2 linked regions of the Drosophila melanogaster genome follow. The protein of the gene in region 1 interacts with the protein of each later gene in a pairwise test. Each region holds a gene or a part of one and is shown on either strand. Other genes may lie near its edges. The genes, in order: SCAR and Abi.

Region 1 (9,875 bases):
TCAAATGGGAGGCTATCCTTCATATCCCTACAATCTGTACATGCCCCCACCACCACCACCACCGCCACACCCGCAACAAGCTCCGCCACCATCAATGTATCCACCCGACCCGTCCGGATATCCAGGCGGCTATCCACCGCAGGGGGCTCCCGGACAGAATCCAGTTAACAACCCAAATGCGATCCCCAATCAGCCTCAGGCACAGCAGCCTGCCAGCGGCCCGGGATCAGGGCCTGCCCCGAACTATCCTCCAGGCGGCTCGAGCGTTATTAATCATTCCCTTAAGGTCAACAAGGAATACAACGAGGACGGTCACCACCAATCTTCAACGTAGTCGCAGTCGAGATACAATGTTACATGAAACTTTAAACGTCGGATTGGGCCTCAAGTTTCAAGTCGGCCTTCAATACAATGTAGCAAAGTCGAATTAAAGATTTAAACAGTACTTGGAATTTTCACAATTTTCACAGTCTTTGATTAAATAAAAGAAAGAAATGTTCTCTTACCATTGTAAATAAAGACATTACTGAAAAGGTAAAACGAGATATTTTAGTATCACATATATTTCATAATATAAAAGGTACTTGAATATGTTTTATACACAAATGTACAAAATCATGTATGTACATATTAGGCAGTCTACTTTTCCACTATTGTGCTGTGGTTATACAAGTGCACGTGGTAGACGTAGCTGTTCATGCATTTCTGGATACTGAGCACTAGTGGGTCAAAGGGATGCCAAATAAAGGCGCACAATTCCCGTGGCGCCAAAGGATTTAAATGCCGGCGGGCCGTAGCGTGCAGTCTAAACTTGATTGAATCCGTGGCACGGTCAAGAAACACAATAGGATCGTTGCAGCAGCGATGGGGTTGCTCCAGAGGAGACACGTACCGACTGTCGTATCTAAATTCGTTGAACTTTAGATAGGGCGACGAGGAAAGGCTCTGGGAGCTGAGTGGAACGCTGGGGTTGAAGCGCAAGGCCGTATGTCGATCGACGGAGACCGATTCATTGGAATCCGCAAAGGTATGCCTTAGGAAAAAATGCATGGGCAATGAAGGTGCATCACCGAATTGCAGCGATCGATCATTGCTCATGTAGTCATTGAATTGCAGTAAGATTTGCAGCAGGTTGACGGAATATTCCGGATAAACGCCAACCACTTCTTCGCCAGTTATGGTGTAGAATACATACAAGCGGCGCGGTGATGTAGCCATGGGCATGGTATCGGTACCATTTGGCCGCTCTTCATAGCGCAACATTAGAAGTTCATTGTTCACCAGATGCATTCTCTCCATGATCATGTGTTCTATCTAAATGAGATATGTAAGGATGTGAAGACCGTTGTCACTCTTTATAATGTTACTTACATACTCAAAGTTTTTATAAAACGACTTCTGACTTTCCGTCGGGTTGCCACTTTTATCATTAATTTTACGGTACAGAAAGCTAAGGACGCGCTGTTTAATGTGCGTTATGGGCAAAACTGTGGTGGCGTCAAGATTGTCAAAGTCTGTGGTAGCCTTCTCGATAAAGTCCCTCGGCCTGGGACCAATAGTCTCCTGCTGGTGGAACTTACCGTCATTCACCCAATAGACGTAAACGCACTGATGCAGCCGGGACATCATCATCACTGTTGAGCCAAACACGGAAATTCCATGATTGTGGGCAATGACGATGGAGTCGTTAGGCAGGATAAGTCTATCTGTGACGACGCCTAGCTTCAAATCCACCAGAAAGAACACATACGAGAAGGCGTCCACTTTGTCGAACAGATCTGGGTACCGTACGTAGTCATCGACCGGCAGTGCGCCGCGCACAACGGTCATGGCAGCCAGCATGGCATAACGACCCTCTTCCAGGAACACACTGAACTCCCGGTGCAGATAGTAGAGGCCAAAGTCGCCTTGGCATAGATTCAGCGTCTCTTTTGTGGGAAACAGGCGTTCAAAGATCCTGCTCTTGAGTATGGTGTCCTGGCTACTGAAGCACTCGCCACTGCCTACATCCGCCTGGCGAATCAGTTCACCCACCGCCGCACAACTAGAACCCCCGTAGCTGTATATGAGCAGACTGCGCTGATCCTGCGAGAAGGCCAACAGTTTTCTGCCATCCGGCGTAAACTTGCGCAGGTAGATCGGCGGAATGGTAATCGAGTCAATTGTCAGGCAAGGCGTGATGCACTTGTAGAAGAGACGCTCGTAGGCCAACAGCGGCATCCTGCCCGGCTGTTGGCCCACGTTGGTGTATCCGGACTCGCGGTTCTGCAGCAGATGCACGAGGTTCTGCGATTGTAGGCGCTTCTTGTAGGCCATTCTGACAGATCCTGGGAAAGTTCTGCCAAGTTCCTATTCCTAATGTCAGCCGGGTTCTTCTTCCGATCGGAAGGTAACTAAAGTAAAGTGTGACCGCAGTTAGATTACAAAAATTTACTCTGTCTACAAAAGTTTTGTTGTTAAAAAATATAAGTATAATAATAATAATATTAATGCTTTTCAAGATTCAAATAAAAAACGTTATTTATAAATAAAATAATTCAATACATCTTACTTTACTTTGTTTAAAAAAATGTGTAAATGAATTATCTATGAAAAGCAAATTTAGATTTATTTATTTTTTTTTTTAAATAAAATTATTCTTGAGTGCTTTTAAATGCTCTAAGTATATTATGTATTTCTGAACCATTAGCCTCTTTGATTACGACACCGTTTCATAAACATTTGATGTATAACATTACATATATTTTTTTAATTTTTATCATTAAATATCGTCAACTTTTAATTCCAAACTTGGTTTTACATCACCTCATCTTTAGCTTACACAAATCCCGCGCAAACGTTCTAACGGTTTTCAAAAAACAATGTATTTTTCGAAAATTTTCGGAATTTTAAATTACTATTTCACTTTATTCAGAGTCGAAATGTTCGCAGACATATAAATATACACATCTGTTAGGGATTACGTTGCCCATTCCAGTGACTGCCAAGCGGAGACTATAGTAAGCTTAGACATTGTAGCCTACAATGTGACGCTTGCCGATGCACTCGCCGATGTAGAACCAGAAGATGACCTCGGCGGTCACCAGGGTGTTAAGCCAGGCCTCGCGAACCGTGAGGTTCTTGTAGGCGCCGGTCTTGGCTCCCTTGATGATGTTGCCCAGTCCTTGGCGAATGGCCGGAATATCGGCGGGCGTCGGGGGCGTCAGTTCCACCTTGGCGTACTTCAGGAACACGTCCAGTTGGGGCCTCGCCTGTGTGAGGAGCCCTGCAAAAAGTGATCATTACATAATTTTGCGATTGACAGGCGCCAATGGTGGTGTATCCATTCGATTGCATTCGATTCACGACACTCACTGTTCACAAGTCCTGATCCCTTGGTAGCCAAACTCGCCATCTTTTCAATTTGGTTCTGCAAGCAGTTGGAATTATACAAGAGGAAATCAACGAAATGTGCGGAAAACTTACCTATTCAGTGTGCGACGAAACAGAGATGTTATGCATTGGGGCCAGGGCTGGAGCACTAGTTATCGATCGGCGGATAAATACCAAAAATACCAAATATACATTTCTAAAGTTAATGGAAGAAACTGCAAACAGTAATTTTAAATAACGTTAATAAAATAGCTTATTATGGATAATATAGAGTTAAAATAAAATAAAATAAATTGAATATATATTTATATTTAAAATATTTCATTCTATACAGTAAATAAACAATATGAAATGAGTTACTGAAAATTCCCTTGCAAAATTTATTTAAATATAGTAATTAAAATACATATTACATTTAATATAAAAATAACTTTTTCCCCACCGCATCGTGCAGTATATTTGTCTGATTTTCCGAAATGATGAATCCCTGCAGTATTTTCGAACCACAAAGCTTCGGTCACACTGCAAAGGTGTGGAAATCTTAGTTTCCACAAAACGAGCAAATATTTGCAGTTTTCAAGCCCCAAATTGGCTAATTAGAGTTCGCATCGGATCGAATTTGCCACCGAACCCCCGAAACGGAAGTGGCTGCTTAATGTTTGTTGTGGTGCCAGCCGCCAAACGAAAAGTGTGACGGGCGGTGAGTGTACGATATGCTGTAAAGTGAGGTGGACTGTGTAAAACTAAGCTGCGCCGTTCAAAACCAAAATCAAAATCGCAGCAGCCACTACGATTAGAAAGTGTGAGAGATACCTTTGTGTGTGCATTGTTGCGATTTAGTGCGAATGTTTCAGTGCGAAAATCTGAAAGAGTCAGCCGTTCCGTCCCACACATATGTATGTACATTTACTTGGGTGCTGCTGCTGCTGCGGTTCATGCGTGTGTGTGAGTGCGTGACGGTCTAATTTGCGTTGGTGGGAGGCCGCCGACGATATACGTATATGCACGTATGGAATAGGTGCCCACGTAAAGGCCCCAGGTCGTAGCACCCAGAAACTGCCACCGAAAAGGGGGGCATTATCGACTAATCTCGCCGGGACTGCAAGGTGCATCTTGCGGGGGTGACTTGGGCGTTACGCCCTTATCACCTCGCTGTGGGTATCGTTTCGTGGGGTGTGGTCCAGACGTCGAGTTCGTCAGTCGCGCATATCACAAAACAATTCAAATGGCATTTTGGTGATTGTAATGAACACGTCTCATGGATACATGGATAAGCGTCTCGTGAAATCTTCTGCAATACCATTCTGAGTCTTGTTCATAGACGGTTTAGTATAGTGATGACAAAATTTCTTTTAAACCAATTTTGATAGTATCCAATTAACTTTTTAAACGTCTACTTTTACGGGAAAATTTATAAACAAAGTTAAACGACAATTTGGGAAGTACAATTTTATCGGAATGAAATGTCTTCAATTGATAATCAGCATAAAAAGAAATCTTTTTATTATTGATCCCAATTTGGCATGAGATTATGTAGTAAATCAGTAAATAAAGGGTTTTATATTTAATTAATTTTAAATGCATTAATTCGTATTAAAACAATTTATTACTTATTAATGCCGTTTTCAGTCGATGAGGACGCACTAATTTACGGGTTTGCCAATTTGGAGATAATTGTCAATCGCGCCCGACCATGCCGCTGCCCAAACGATCCATAGAACCCGTGCATGTGGCCCGCTCCGTGTATCAGCAGGATGAGCTGCAATCCGTGGAGCTGGAGACGGTCACCAACACCACGCTGACGAACATCATTCGCCAGCTGTCCTCGCTGTCCAAGCACGCAGAGGATGTGTTCGGTGAACTGGCCCGCGACGTGGGCAACATCGGGGATCGAGCTAACTCCCTGCAGGCGCGCATCGATCGCCTAGCTATCAAAGTTACCCAGCTGGACAGCACAGTTGAGGAGGTGCCCTTGACGGACATTACCCGAAAGAAGGCCTTCAAGTCGGCCAAGGTTTTTGATCAACAGATCTTCTCGCGCGCCACCATGCCGGCACCAATGATGGACACATATGCCCAGTGCGACAAACCGCCGCCCCTCGACAAGCTTAATGTCTATCGAGACGATGGCAAGGATGGTCTTAAGTTCTACACGGATCCGAACTACTTCTTTGAGTTGTGGCGACAGGAGATGCTGAAGGATACCGAACGTGTGATGCACGACAAGGGCAAGAAGCTGAACAGACCGCGGCAGGATGGCGGTGCCGGCGGAGCTGCTGGACGTGGCAATAAGAAACAGAAGACCAAAATAAGGGTGCCGCACAATACGCGCGAACAGCAGCGACAACGTGCACTGGTGCACGGCGAAACATTGATGCCCAACAACGTCATCTACCGCACACCGAATTCCATGGTCAACGAAGAAGCCGGATACGGAAGTAAGTACTTGGCGAAAGGGATTGGTCTCCGTGTGAGCCAAGTATTCAGTGCGAACCAAATTCATAGGCTGTTATTGGTACGTTCGTTTCGCGCACTGACTATTTGCACTTGTCTTGCCTATTGAATGGTACATCTATTTTAATTATCAATTATGTCCTGTCTGCCCGTGTAGTTCAGCTAGTCAAAATACAGACTGTGGGCGAGGCTGACATCGATTTGCGGCATAGCACTCTCGATGCGCACCACCAAGTTGTCGGTAATATCCAAGACGTAGGTACGATGATGGGGCCACGTAGCTTTCATTTCCGCCCGGCAGACATCCCACGATACAGATGTACCCGCCATTCATTCACCTACTTCACTCAAAAGCTCGCTAGTTTTCGATGCGCCTCAAAACCCAGTTCGAAGATCACTAATTTGTATTATTTTGAAGTTGCTATTAATTGAAATTAACCCACACAATCATGACCCAGAGAAAGGTGACCGAAACAAAGTTTCCAGAGCTTAAAAAATAAATGAAATGGTACTTAACATAAATTCCATCTAAAGTTTGATTAAAATCTCAGATACAGGATATATTCGATCTAATTCATTATTATTACACCATTAGCAAAATGGTCTATGGCCAGTCTAGTTCATCCTCCTGTAAGTTAGCAAGACTTTCGAACTTGATTTGTCTCTAATTTGAATTCACTGACTTTGTTCCAATGAAGTTCGTCTTGTTGATGGTAAATACAATACGGTCAGAGAACCTTACAATTTCATTCTCCGAATGGTCGATTATTTTTCGCAGCTTTTATTTATTTGCATGTTGTTTTTATGAACTACTCTTTCGTTGTTTTCGGTTATGATATTAATGAACGTGAACATAAATATGCATTGCAATTACGAATGGATCAATCGCGCATAACCATCTCATTTACAGATACAGTAAAGCCTTATAATATGCTTTCGCATTTGGAGAATAACAGTAATGTCACCAAGCAAACCGCCGTTGCGATTGCAGGTTAGACATCCACATCCACTTTTAGCAAGCTCAGTAAAGACTATATATGTTCTTTCACTCGCTTCTATCCCCATATTACCTTACTAGCAATCCTTTTTGAGTTCCTTTAGCATTTGTGTGTACAGAGAACACTCTCTTTTTCAAACTATCAATCGGAATGGCGATGATTTATGAGTTTCATTGGTCATGCAAAGTGCAGATTTATTATCTCAAAACACTGTAAACTAGTCACCTTCTAACTTGCAATTTTAATGTAATGTGTGTGCACATTATATTTACAATGCATCTTGCATTTTGCATAATACTTTAATTCATTTCATACTCGCGATTCGTGATTGAGCCGCAGTTTTTGTTTAGGATCCTCCTATCTTTCTGTTGTAGTTCAGTCAATTTCCATATCTACGTCTACATGTCACTCTGCAGCTTTACTAATTCCTTTCTGTCGCCACATCTTATTCTACGAAAGTATCTCTAAATTGTTTTCTGTGCAACGAGCTAACAAAGACTTTTAATCGGATGTTTGTATATTCAACAAAATTTCTATTCGAGTCCAGCGGTCTCATATGCACAGAAATTTGGAATTGCTTGTAATTACATATGTGTCTTATTGTTCCTCGGCTGTAATTACAAAATAATTGGCGTGTTTTTAAATGAGATGTGTGTCCTGTAAAAACGTTCATTTTAATGGGTGGTTAGTCAACGGCTCTAATATCTCACATTCATTATTCTAGATATGGGAGTGTACGATACACGTCCGCCACGTCCTAACTCGATCGAATTGAACCGAAGCTATCAGTCGGAGCAGATCGATGGTAGCACCTACGAGCAGCTTCCACCGCAGATGGGTAATCAGTATGCTGCCACCTTCGGCAACGGCATGGGTGGCCCCCAGCAGATGCACATGCAGCATCAGCAGATGTATGACGCCGGAATGTATCAGTCGCATGCGCTGTACGGCCAAACTGGACAGGGAGTGATGTCGCCGGAGCCCATCTACGGACCGGGAACACCGTCGCGTAACAAACCGCGTCCGTCGCAGCCGCCACCGGCTCCGCCATCGAATGGCAGCGGTGGTGGTACGCCCACAGCCTCCAATGCCAACACTCCGACAAGGGGCAGAAGTATGTCGACCAGTCGGGATGCCTTGCCACCGCCTCCACCAGTTCCAGACGTCATTTCACCAATGTCTGGCATGAACGGAGTCAACAGCGGGCATATGGCGGCCAAACTGCTTGGCCGGGCGAACAGTTCGTCGGGAGCTGGATCTCCCAACAGCGTCCAGAATGCCAATGATATGGTCATGACGCAACTGAGCAATACTTTCCACAGCATCGGTATGACGGGCAATCAACTGAACTCCCTTAGCGACTTGCCGCCACCGCCGCCGGTTCCAGATCAGGTTTGTTGTTCACTGATGGGTGTTAATATATCACAATTTGGTTTAATTTGTGGCAAAACCTTACAGCACTCGCCTAAGATGTCGCCACCTAATGCCGCGCCACCACCGCCGCCGCCACCGCCTCCAGTCGAGGAAGGCATGGGCAGTGGCAACCAACACACGCTGCGCCCGCATCAAATTCTTCCCAAATCACTGGCCAATGGCGAAATGCAGCAGCCCGGCCAACAAAATGGTGTGCCTCACATTGTCGCACCCAAGAAGATGCTGCCTCCATTCCATGACCCACGCAACGACTTGATGAAGGCCATTCGAGATGGTAAGTAATTGCCATTCAAGGTTCGAATGCAAAAATATCATCAAATTAATCTTTCCAGGTATTACTCTACGTAAAGTTGAAAAGTCAGAGCAAAAGGAAATTGAACGAAACGCGGCGCCATTGGATGTGGCTTCAATCTTGGCCAGACGTGTGGCTATCGAATTATCCGAGTCCGAGGATTCGGATAGCGAAGACGACAGCGAGGGCTGGATGGAACCGAACGAAACATCGGCTTGATCCCTGATTAACTCGTTAAAGCCTGACATAATTCTAAAAAACAAAAAGAAGAAGTAATTCCAAAGAGAATTAATCCATACGATGGTCGAAACCAAGCGTGGTATGAAATTGGATTACACAAAAGCACCAAAGCTTTTCTACCACCCTTTATACAATATACACCTAATCCTAAATAATATGTCTAAAATCAAAAGTTTCATTGAATTGTATATACACCAACGAGTAATTATCGTTAAATTAATCGCTATAGTGAACGAACGCATTTGCATTTTAAGCCTAGACGACAATCCAAGGAAAGCGATTTAAAAGACTTGCTAATTTTGTTCGCTTCTTTGGAGTCAAGGTCTGAGTAGATATGGGCTTCTGTATCATAGTAGTCGGTGTTTGGATATTAAATTATAAATAATCGATATTATCACTGAACTCAATCCTACCCCAACTTGCAATCGATACGATTAATATAAAACATTTATCCAAAATGAAAATTTAGAATTTTGTAAATACAAACACATTAAAATATATCGAACTCCGTAGCATTTCAGTATACTCAACAAGCTATGAAATTGTATTATCCTTGTGAAAGTTAAATACCTGTATAATTAATAAAATATGTTTCACGAATATAAGCAGCCATGAATGTGTGGTTAAGTAAGCAAACATGGATGTATGTAATTTTTCTTTACATAAACTAAAATATACAATAAAAAATAAAGTAATTATATTCCAAATTAATGAACATGTCTTGATAGATAACTTTAAATGTTTGTTTGGGAATTTCCTCTGGTCTTATGCTTAAATACCAGAATCTTAATCCTCAATTTTGCTTTTGTTTGAAAAAAGAGCAGTAATGCATTTCAAATACAAAATATTTAGTCATAAATGCTGAAGTGCTTAGCAAAAGTAAGAAAGTATTGAAAAAGTATAAATGTCTGGGCTAGTTTCATATATGGCCTCTTAGTAAGGATTAATACTCCATTCTAAATTATATCCAATTATAGATAATAAAACTTCTTTTCGAGCGCGTTTTGCGGAATAGAGTGCAAGTTCGTACCCACGAGGGTAGCTAGCTTCTTAGCGTACTGGCAAACTGCTGGCACTCGTGTGGT
Region 2 (7,539 bases), on another chromosome or scaffold:
ACATTTAAATAGCGAGTTTGGCAGCATATCCTCCGAGCTTAACTCGGTTTACCAGGCCGGCTTCCTAGGATTCCTTATTGGAGCTATTTACGGCGGAGTTACACAATCGCGCGTGGCCTACATGAATTTCATGGAGAACAACCAGGCCACAGCATTTAAATCGCACTTTGATGCCAAGGTAGGTATCTACGTATTATCATTTAAATATGTTATAATCAAGTTTTTAATCATAATTACAGAAAAAGCTGCAAGATCAATTCACAGTCAACTTTGCCAAAGGCGGCTTCAAATGGGGCTGGCGAGTGGGACTTTTTACCACATCCTACTTGTAAGTTCAGCAACACGAATTCAAATCTGTATCTGTGTGATACAAAAATGTGTTCCTTACAGCGGCATCATCACTTGTATGTCGGTGTACCGTGGAAAATCCTCAATCTACGAATACTTGGCCGCTGGTTCCATCACCGGCTCGCTTTACAAAGTGAGTCTTGGTCTGCGGGGCATGGCGGCAGGTGGAATCATTGGAGGTTTCTTGGGCGGCGTGGCTGGTGTGACGTCGCTGCTGCTGATGAAAGCATCAGGGACCTCGATGGAAGAGGTTCGCTACTGGCAGTACAAATGGCGACTCGATCGCGACGAAAACATTCAACAGGCGTTCAAAAAACTGACAGAGGACGAAAACCCAGAGCTTTTCAAGGCCCACGACGAGAAAACATCCGAACATGTATCGCTGGACACGATCAAGTGAGTCCTGAGGACTTAAAGAAGACGCCAGTGTGAACTTAGTTACTTTTTTTAATTTAAATAAATTGCATATATGTCCATCTAAAGTTACATAGACAAGAATACATTTAAGGAAGCCCACTTTGGCGGCTGCTATGCGATGTTTCAGTTGATGCCTAGTGCCTCTAAAGATATCGACTGACGTACGGACACATATAGACACGGGATAGACACAACACAAAAGAAATAAACGATTGGATACAATAAATTAAATGCTCTGCTAGGAAACAGTACGTAGAAGGGCGATAAACAGAATTGACTCGGTGGGATCGGGATTCAGACTTAGTCCTCTGCGGTGGGACGCGTGAGGCGCTTGGCGCCTCGGTTTGGTGGCCCCTTGGGCTTGGCAAAAGCCGGTCGGTGTAGAATCTTCTTTGGGTGCAGCTCGTCCTGCAAGAAGGCTTCGGTCAGCTCGCTGCCGCTGTCGATTTCAAGCTGAAATGTAAAACGTTGTTAGAAACATGAATCAGATTTAGTATGATTTAAAATTACTCATTATTTATGATTTACAGATTTCTATTTCAAGTGAAAAGTGAGACATTCGCCCTAATTATGATTCAAAATATTTCTAGAGATCGTGAATCAAAAGTATAGTGAATGTGGCGATTTGAAAGCAATAAATAAATCACAAACAATATATACCCTGCTTTTGCTTTTTATAGCCCTAATCTTTAGTGCTATTAGCGCAGCCACACCCACTCGCATTCATATCAACTCACCTTCTTAACAACCTCCACGCCAAGGGCCGCGAGCTCGTCGAGAAAAGGAGCCTTACAGCTTGAGTACATCATGCGCTCGCGCACGGAGCAGGAATATCCAGGCATGGAGTAGACGAACACGTACGACTCAAAGTAGTCGCCCTCGTGCGTGTGCCGAAACAGGAAGAGGTGGTATCGTGCATGATCCTCGGGCACTTGCTTCGGCAGATCGGCGAGCTCCACTTTGGCCGCACGCGAAACATGGATCTGTTCCTCCTCCAGATCGATGCGGAACTGAAGGTAGTCGTGCTTGCCGCGCACCAAATCCTGAACGGCAGCCACGGTTGCCTCGCTCAGCGGGCAATTGATCCCACCCAGAGTTTGGTGCCGCGTATTCGTATTGATCTCAGTGTGAACCTCTGTCTTTCGCAGCTCTTTCAGCTCCTCCTCCCTGCTGGTCAATGGAGCTGGGGCTGCGAAATCCTGCTTGTGCCGGCGATAGCCCTCCAGCGTGCACTCATCCAGAGTGGTGGCATGCAGCTCCTCTGTGATGTATGCTGATCCGAACTCCGTTTTCAACGTGGCCTTCGTGGAAGCGTATACCATCTTCTGTCGGATGCTGGCCGTGTCCGGCGTCCAGCTGATAAGTAGCCAACTGTAGCCCAGCGGGATCTTGGCGTCCAGGCGATAGAGAATATAGCAGGGCACATCCTTTTCCAGTAGGGGACCTATAAGCTTGTCGTAGTCGCGCTCCCAATCCTTTTTCGTCTCCGCCGTGGCGCCGCAACTAAGCTGCTCTGTAATTTGGGGCGGGGTGAAAACGGATGCGGGTTCGTTATCAAATCGTATGCCTAGTATATATCTTGTGTATATACGTTTCTGGATTAAATCCACTCACCATTCTCGATCGAAACTTTTATCACGCGAAATTTACCATTCTTCGCTTTGCCGAACACCTTGGCCAGCTGCTCGTTGGCTGAAAATACAAAGGGTGTTCTAAGGATGCGGATTAGGTGGTTCCCAAAGATAACAAACCTCGGATACCCGTTTGGTGAGACATTTGGACAACAGCTAAAATTAATATTGCCGAAAAAATATATTACTCACAACCAGTGTGACCGCAAAGCGCGAGTAGGGAAATACTAAACCGGGAAATATGTACCGATTCTGATTGGCAATCACTTCAAAGCGGCTTTAAATGTGTAAAAAAAAAAGAATTATTAATTAAAAAGATACTGTAATGCTATTTTTATAACTAAATTTTGGGAAAATTTTTAACACTCTGTTTTATAGAACATACATTTCAAAAATAATACCAAATGTGTCTGCACTGATACAGTGTTGAAAAATTCTTCAAGCTCCAGTACTTTGCAGCACAGGCCAGCGTTCTTTCTTTTTTCACGGAAAATGTAATGAAAAACTGCATTTAACTGCATTTAAAACGTAGCAACTAGCCCGGAAAAGCATCTGTTGTGCAATCGCATAGTCAATAAAGTGAGTGCACGCGAGATTCGTCCGATTAAACCGCTCCAGCGATCAACTGGAGCAGCTGGGCGTCGACGTCGGCAGAGGCCAGCCCACGCCCCAAATGTTTACGGGCGTGAAAAGTGCGGAAAAGCGAGGAATTTAATTGGGTTTTCGTTTCCCGTTTGCCCGCAGCATCCACACCCATGTTGACCGAAACCCCCATGGCCAGCGAGAACATCATGGACGAACTAGCCTCTCTGATACGCACCGAGATCCCCGATGGCCGCCAGAGTCTGCGGGACAGCTACACGAACCTGGAGCGGGTGGCCGACTACTGCGAGGACACCTACTACCGCGCGGACAACAAGAAGGCGGCCCTGGAGGCCACCAAGAACTACACCACCCAGTCGCTGGCCAGCGTGGCCTACCAGATTAACACGCTCGCCTATAGCTACATGCAGCTCCTCGAGCTTCAGGCCCAGCAGCTCGGCGAGATGGAGTCCCAGATGAACCACATCGCCCAGACGGTGCATATCCACAAGGAGAAGGTGGCCAGGAGGTAAGAACAACAAATTGCTTAAACTAGAATAGGAAAAGGGGATATGCATATTTTAAAACGACAAAGAATACGGAATGAACATTTTTGTCTGTAAGTACGACTCATCGGTGATAAAAGCTTCATAGAGAAGAAATGTACATTCATACATGCGTCGTCAGACGTGCTGATAAGACTGAACGTCTCTTTCTTCATTCTTTTCCTACATAACTATTTAGTTTTTTCAATTCACTTTATTTGTATTAATTATTTTTGATTATCTTCATTGTCTTTTCTCAGAGAGATTGGCGTGCTTACGGCTAACAAGGTGAGCTCGCGCCAGTTTAAGATCGTGGCGCCCATCAATCCGGAGAAGCCCATCAAGTATGTGCGCAAGCCCATCGACTACTCGATGTTGGACGAGATTGGCCACGGCATTAACTCGGCCCAGCACTCGCAGGTGCGACAGAAACATCGGGGCTCCAGCCATGGGTCCGTGCAATCCTTATTGCCGCCGTCGGTGGGACCTCCGCCAACCACGAAGCCCCCAACTCCGCCGCAGATGTCGCGAGCTGGGAACACTGGCACACTGGGCAAGTCGGTCAGCAATACCGGGACACTGGGCAAGAGTTCGCGGGAGTACCGCACTCCGCCTGTGGTCAATCCACCACAGGTGCCATCGCACTACGCTCCCAACTATCCTATTGGGCATCCAAAGCGAATGTCGACGGCTTCTTCAACGATGACTACCACCACCACAGGCGGCGGAGCGGCGGGCAATGAACGAGCTGCTGGCTACAGTGCACTTCCGATGCCACCCAGCCAGCAGATAGCCACACATGTAAACCTGCCCTCCGCGGGCATGATGCAATCGCTGCCACCACCGCCGCCCACTACGTACGACGATCGCAGCAGCATGCCACGTGAGTTAATTTGATTATTCTGCAATAGCTCAATACTAATAATGCGGTTTGCAATTCGTAGCAGCTCCTCCTTCACCACTTACGGTTTCGCAGCACGAGATGACCGAGCAGAGTCACATTGGCATGCACACTTTGGGACGCAATATCAACAGGTAAGTTTCTGGAAAATGCAATCCCTTCTTTGTGTAAATATAACCTATTTATTGTTCTCTGTGCAAATCCAGGAATCCAAATAGGTAAATTGCATGTTTCTCTGTTTATCATAGGGTTATACTCAGCTAAAAAAAGTTATACTAGGTTTTCGTGTTTGTACTGTGTATAACTCCATGAAATTCATATGTTATCTTGTATATTAAACGCGTATTTTTCCAAAGGAATCACTTCAGCTTGAACTTCGCTCGTCCCGGCTCACAGTCGCCTCCCTTGCCACCTCCGCCGCCGCCGGAGGATGAGCATCAAGACTTCGGACGACCACGCACATCGACGGGACCGCAGCTGGCGCCCATAGTGCCCGAGGATCAGAACTTACCCGGCTGGGTGCCCAAGAACTTCATTGAGAAGGGTAGGCTGATTGGAGCAACTAACAATATACCTTACTAATTCTTACAAACATTCCAGTGGTAGCCATTTACGACTACTATGCCGACAAGGACGACGAGCTGAGCTTCCAGGAAAGCTCAGTGCTGTACGTGCTCAAGAAAAACGACGACGGCTGGTGGGAGGGCGTCATGGATGGTGTTACCGGTCTGTTTCCGGGCAACTACGTAGAGCCTTGTGTCTAAGCCTCGCATCGATATTCTAAACATGCCAACCATTACAATAATCTGCATCATCTGGTCTGTTCCAGTCCTCTGCTGCTTCTCAAGAGCTCCAAAAAATTTCAATTCAGTTATCGGAGAGTTAGACTGAGGACCGCAACAGACTCAGCTGACAATGACGATAAGATTTTGAGCATATTAATAAGGACAATTATACAATTACACACCTACACAAGCACAGCAGGCCAGAGAAAGCGAATTCCATTAGCATCAGCCAACCGCATTTAGTCTAATATAAACGAGCACACAAACACACAGAATCCACGGGCTAGGGATACCGCTTGCTGCCCAACTAAAACTATTTACACTTTAGTAGCCGAAAACGATGCAAGAAGGGGAAAGTGAAACCGGATACCCGTGAATAACTTATGCGATATTATAAAACTGTTCCACAACCGTAGACGAATTCTGTCCTGCTCCTGCCGCCAATCCAAATACTTTAAATATTTGCTCACAGTTTTATCAAGCGATTTCTGTTTGCCTTGCGCTTTGATATGCCCGGCTATTATACACCAATACTACCCGAACCTATGCCCCCAGCAATACTGTAGGTTATATAAATTTCAGTTAGCATTTAATACTTAAGTATTGGCCAGTTGGAACTTTTGTTTATACTTTTACGAACCGCAACGATGTCTTTTTTTTGCGAACGTTTAGTTAAAATGGAATTGCCAGCAAAGGAATCAAATTAAATTAAACAATACAAGTACACATACGCTCTATATGGTAAAAATAATAGCTAATAAAAATTTCAATTACTAAACCGCAAGCCCTTGTTCTATGACCGTGTAATTTGCGCTGACCTTCTCGTGAGTCGAGCCCCGGATGTCAGTAAAAATCCGTAATTGGGGCAAGGCTCTGTGGCCTGCCAAATTCAAATTCGAAATCTCAAATGCAAATTTCAAGTCGTGTGATGGAAGGCTTGAAATATTTGCAAATGCCAACACTCATTGGGGTCATTCAGTCAGTCAATCAATCCATTATAATCGACACTTTGCTCTACAAACCGATTTCAATTCAATGTCTCGTCCCGGAAAACTTTTCCATAACTCGGCTCCGGGTAAATTAATGCTTTCGTGGTGATATGTGGAAGGTTTTTTACCCATTTGCTAAATTTATTATCAGGTTTCGAGGAGTTGACGTGGCGGAAATGCCAGAAAAAAGTGGAGTGCTGGCATGATTTGCATAAAATGTGCTAAATTGTTGCCCACTTTTTGGGCCCCTCAACTATACATACATAAATATGGAAATACCTTTATTTGTGAACAATTATTGGAGTGGACCTGAACAGCTTGAAGACGGACTCTTTGAACGACTACTTTAACCCACAACTGGCCAGCGGCAGGTGGAACCCGCCAGGAATGTATGCAAAATGGCGCATTAGCATTTGAACAATGCCATAGTAAAAAAACGTGGCAACAACAATAGTTGGTTGATTGTGCCGTGCCAGGAGTCGAAACACCGCCCACCCAGCAGGCACCCAACCTGGAATCCATTCCAAACCCCCTGGACATGCCTATAATTTCGTTATTTTCTGACCAGGCCGAGTCGGACGCTTCAGTTGAGTTTGGTACGTCGACGCGAATGGTTCCACAAGTCGCTTTCATTTCGGATTCTACTCCACAACGTTCTTGGCGACCCAGTGTTTCCGGTGTGTTTTGACTTTAAGCCTCTTTTTTTGGCGAGTGGCGTGTCCGGAATAGTTTTCCGAGCGGATAAAGTGCAATACAAAACTATTTGTAAGTGAACCGCGATGCAGAGGTGCTTGAAAAGTTTTTATCATTTGTGTGTTTTACATAATCGAAATGTAAGCCGAGATTGGGGTGGCTCCTCTCTGCGGGCACCGCATTTAATTGACCTACTTGGTGCCGGATTTACTTGCTGGCCAAGTGTAAAATATTACATTATTCCATGTCAGGATTGGGGCCACTGGCCACTTTGTTTATGGCGTAAAGAATTCGCCTGCCTCGTCAATGCGGACAAGTTGGCCCACTTAATGTCGAAATTCTCAAAGTTTCGTGACACGCACAACTTTCTCGAAACTCGAGACGCGCTAATTTGGAAAACCCCGTGAAGGTTAAAAGTTTTGCACTTGCATTCAAAGTCCACTACAAAAATGACGTCACCTTGGATGCATATTGGGGGCTGGTCACTCAGCTTAATGGGCCACTAAAAATAAACCCGGCAAGTGTGTGCCAAGGGAAATGGCTTTGGGTAATTAAGTCGTCTCCAGGTCAAAAAAGCCATCAATCACCACCACTGCGTATACGCAATGCTCCTGGTGGGTAATTACACTCTGGCATTATGGGGTTTGC

The links.
Region 2: the proteins of SCAR (region 1) and Abi interact in a two-hybrid assay, tested with the Drosophila melanogaster proteins (2 studies listed by BioGRID, with this or other methods).

Annotation. Positions count from the first base shown.
Region 1 is NT_033779.5:10,972,897-10,982,771, forward strand, and holds SCAR (SCAR), read left to right. Parts: upstream 1-3,875; 5' UTR 3,876-4,174; intron 4,175-5,001; 5' UTR 5,002-5,065; coding exon 5,066-5,810; intron 5,811-5,983; coding exon 5,984-6,085; intron 6,086-6,736; coding exon 6,737-6,817; intron 6,818-7,548; coding exon 7,549-8,216; intron 8,217-8,282; coding exon 8,283-8,532; intron 8,533-8,590; coding exon 8,591-8,769; coding exon of another isoform or gene 8,770-8,826; 3' UTR 8,827-9,499; downstream 9,500-9,875. Other genes in the region: CG16743 (uncharacterized protein), read left to right, coding at 1-334; abo (abnormal oocyte), read right to left, coding at 640-1,314, 1,372-2,316; ATPsynG (ATP synthase, subunit G), read right to left, coding at 3,006-3,265, 3,355-3,394; piwi (P-element induced wimpy testis), read right to left, coding at 9,762-9,875.
Region 2 is NT_033777.3:14,117,714-14,125,252, reverse strand, and holds Abi (abelson interacting protein), read left to right. Parts: upstream 1-2,832; 5' UTR 2,833-2,975; intron 2,976-3,003; exon of another isoform or gene 3,004-3,140; 5' UTR 3,141-3,151; coding exon 3,152-3,507; intron 3,508-3,783; coding exon 3,784-4,406; intron 4,407-4,467; coding exon 4,468-4,558; intron 4,559-4,630; coding exon 4,631-4,642; intron 4,643-4,780; coding exon 4,781-4,968; intron 4,969-5,024; coding exon 5,025-5,188; 3' UTR 5,189-5,991; downstream 5,992-7,539. Other genes in the region: 140up (upstream of RpII140), read left to right, coding at 13-178, 240-328, 391-748; twf (twinfilin), read right to left, coding at 1,066-1,218, 1,503-2,278, 2,380-2,457, 2,517-2,541.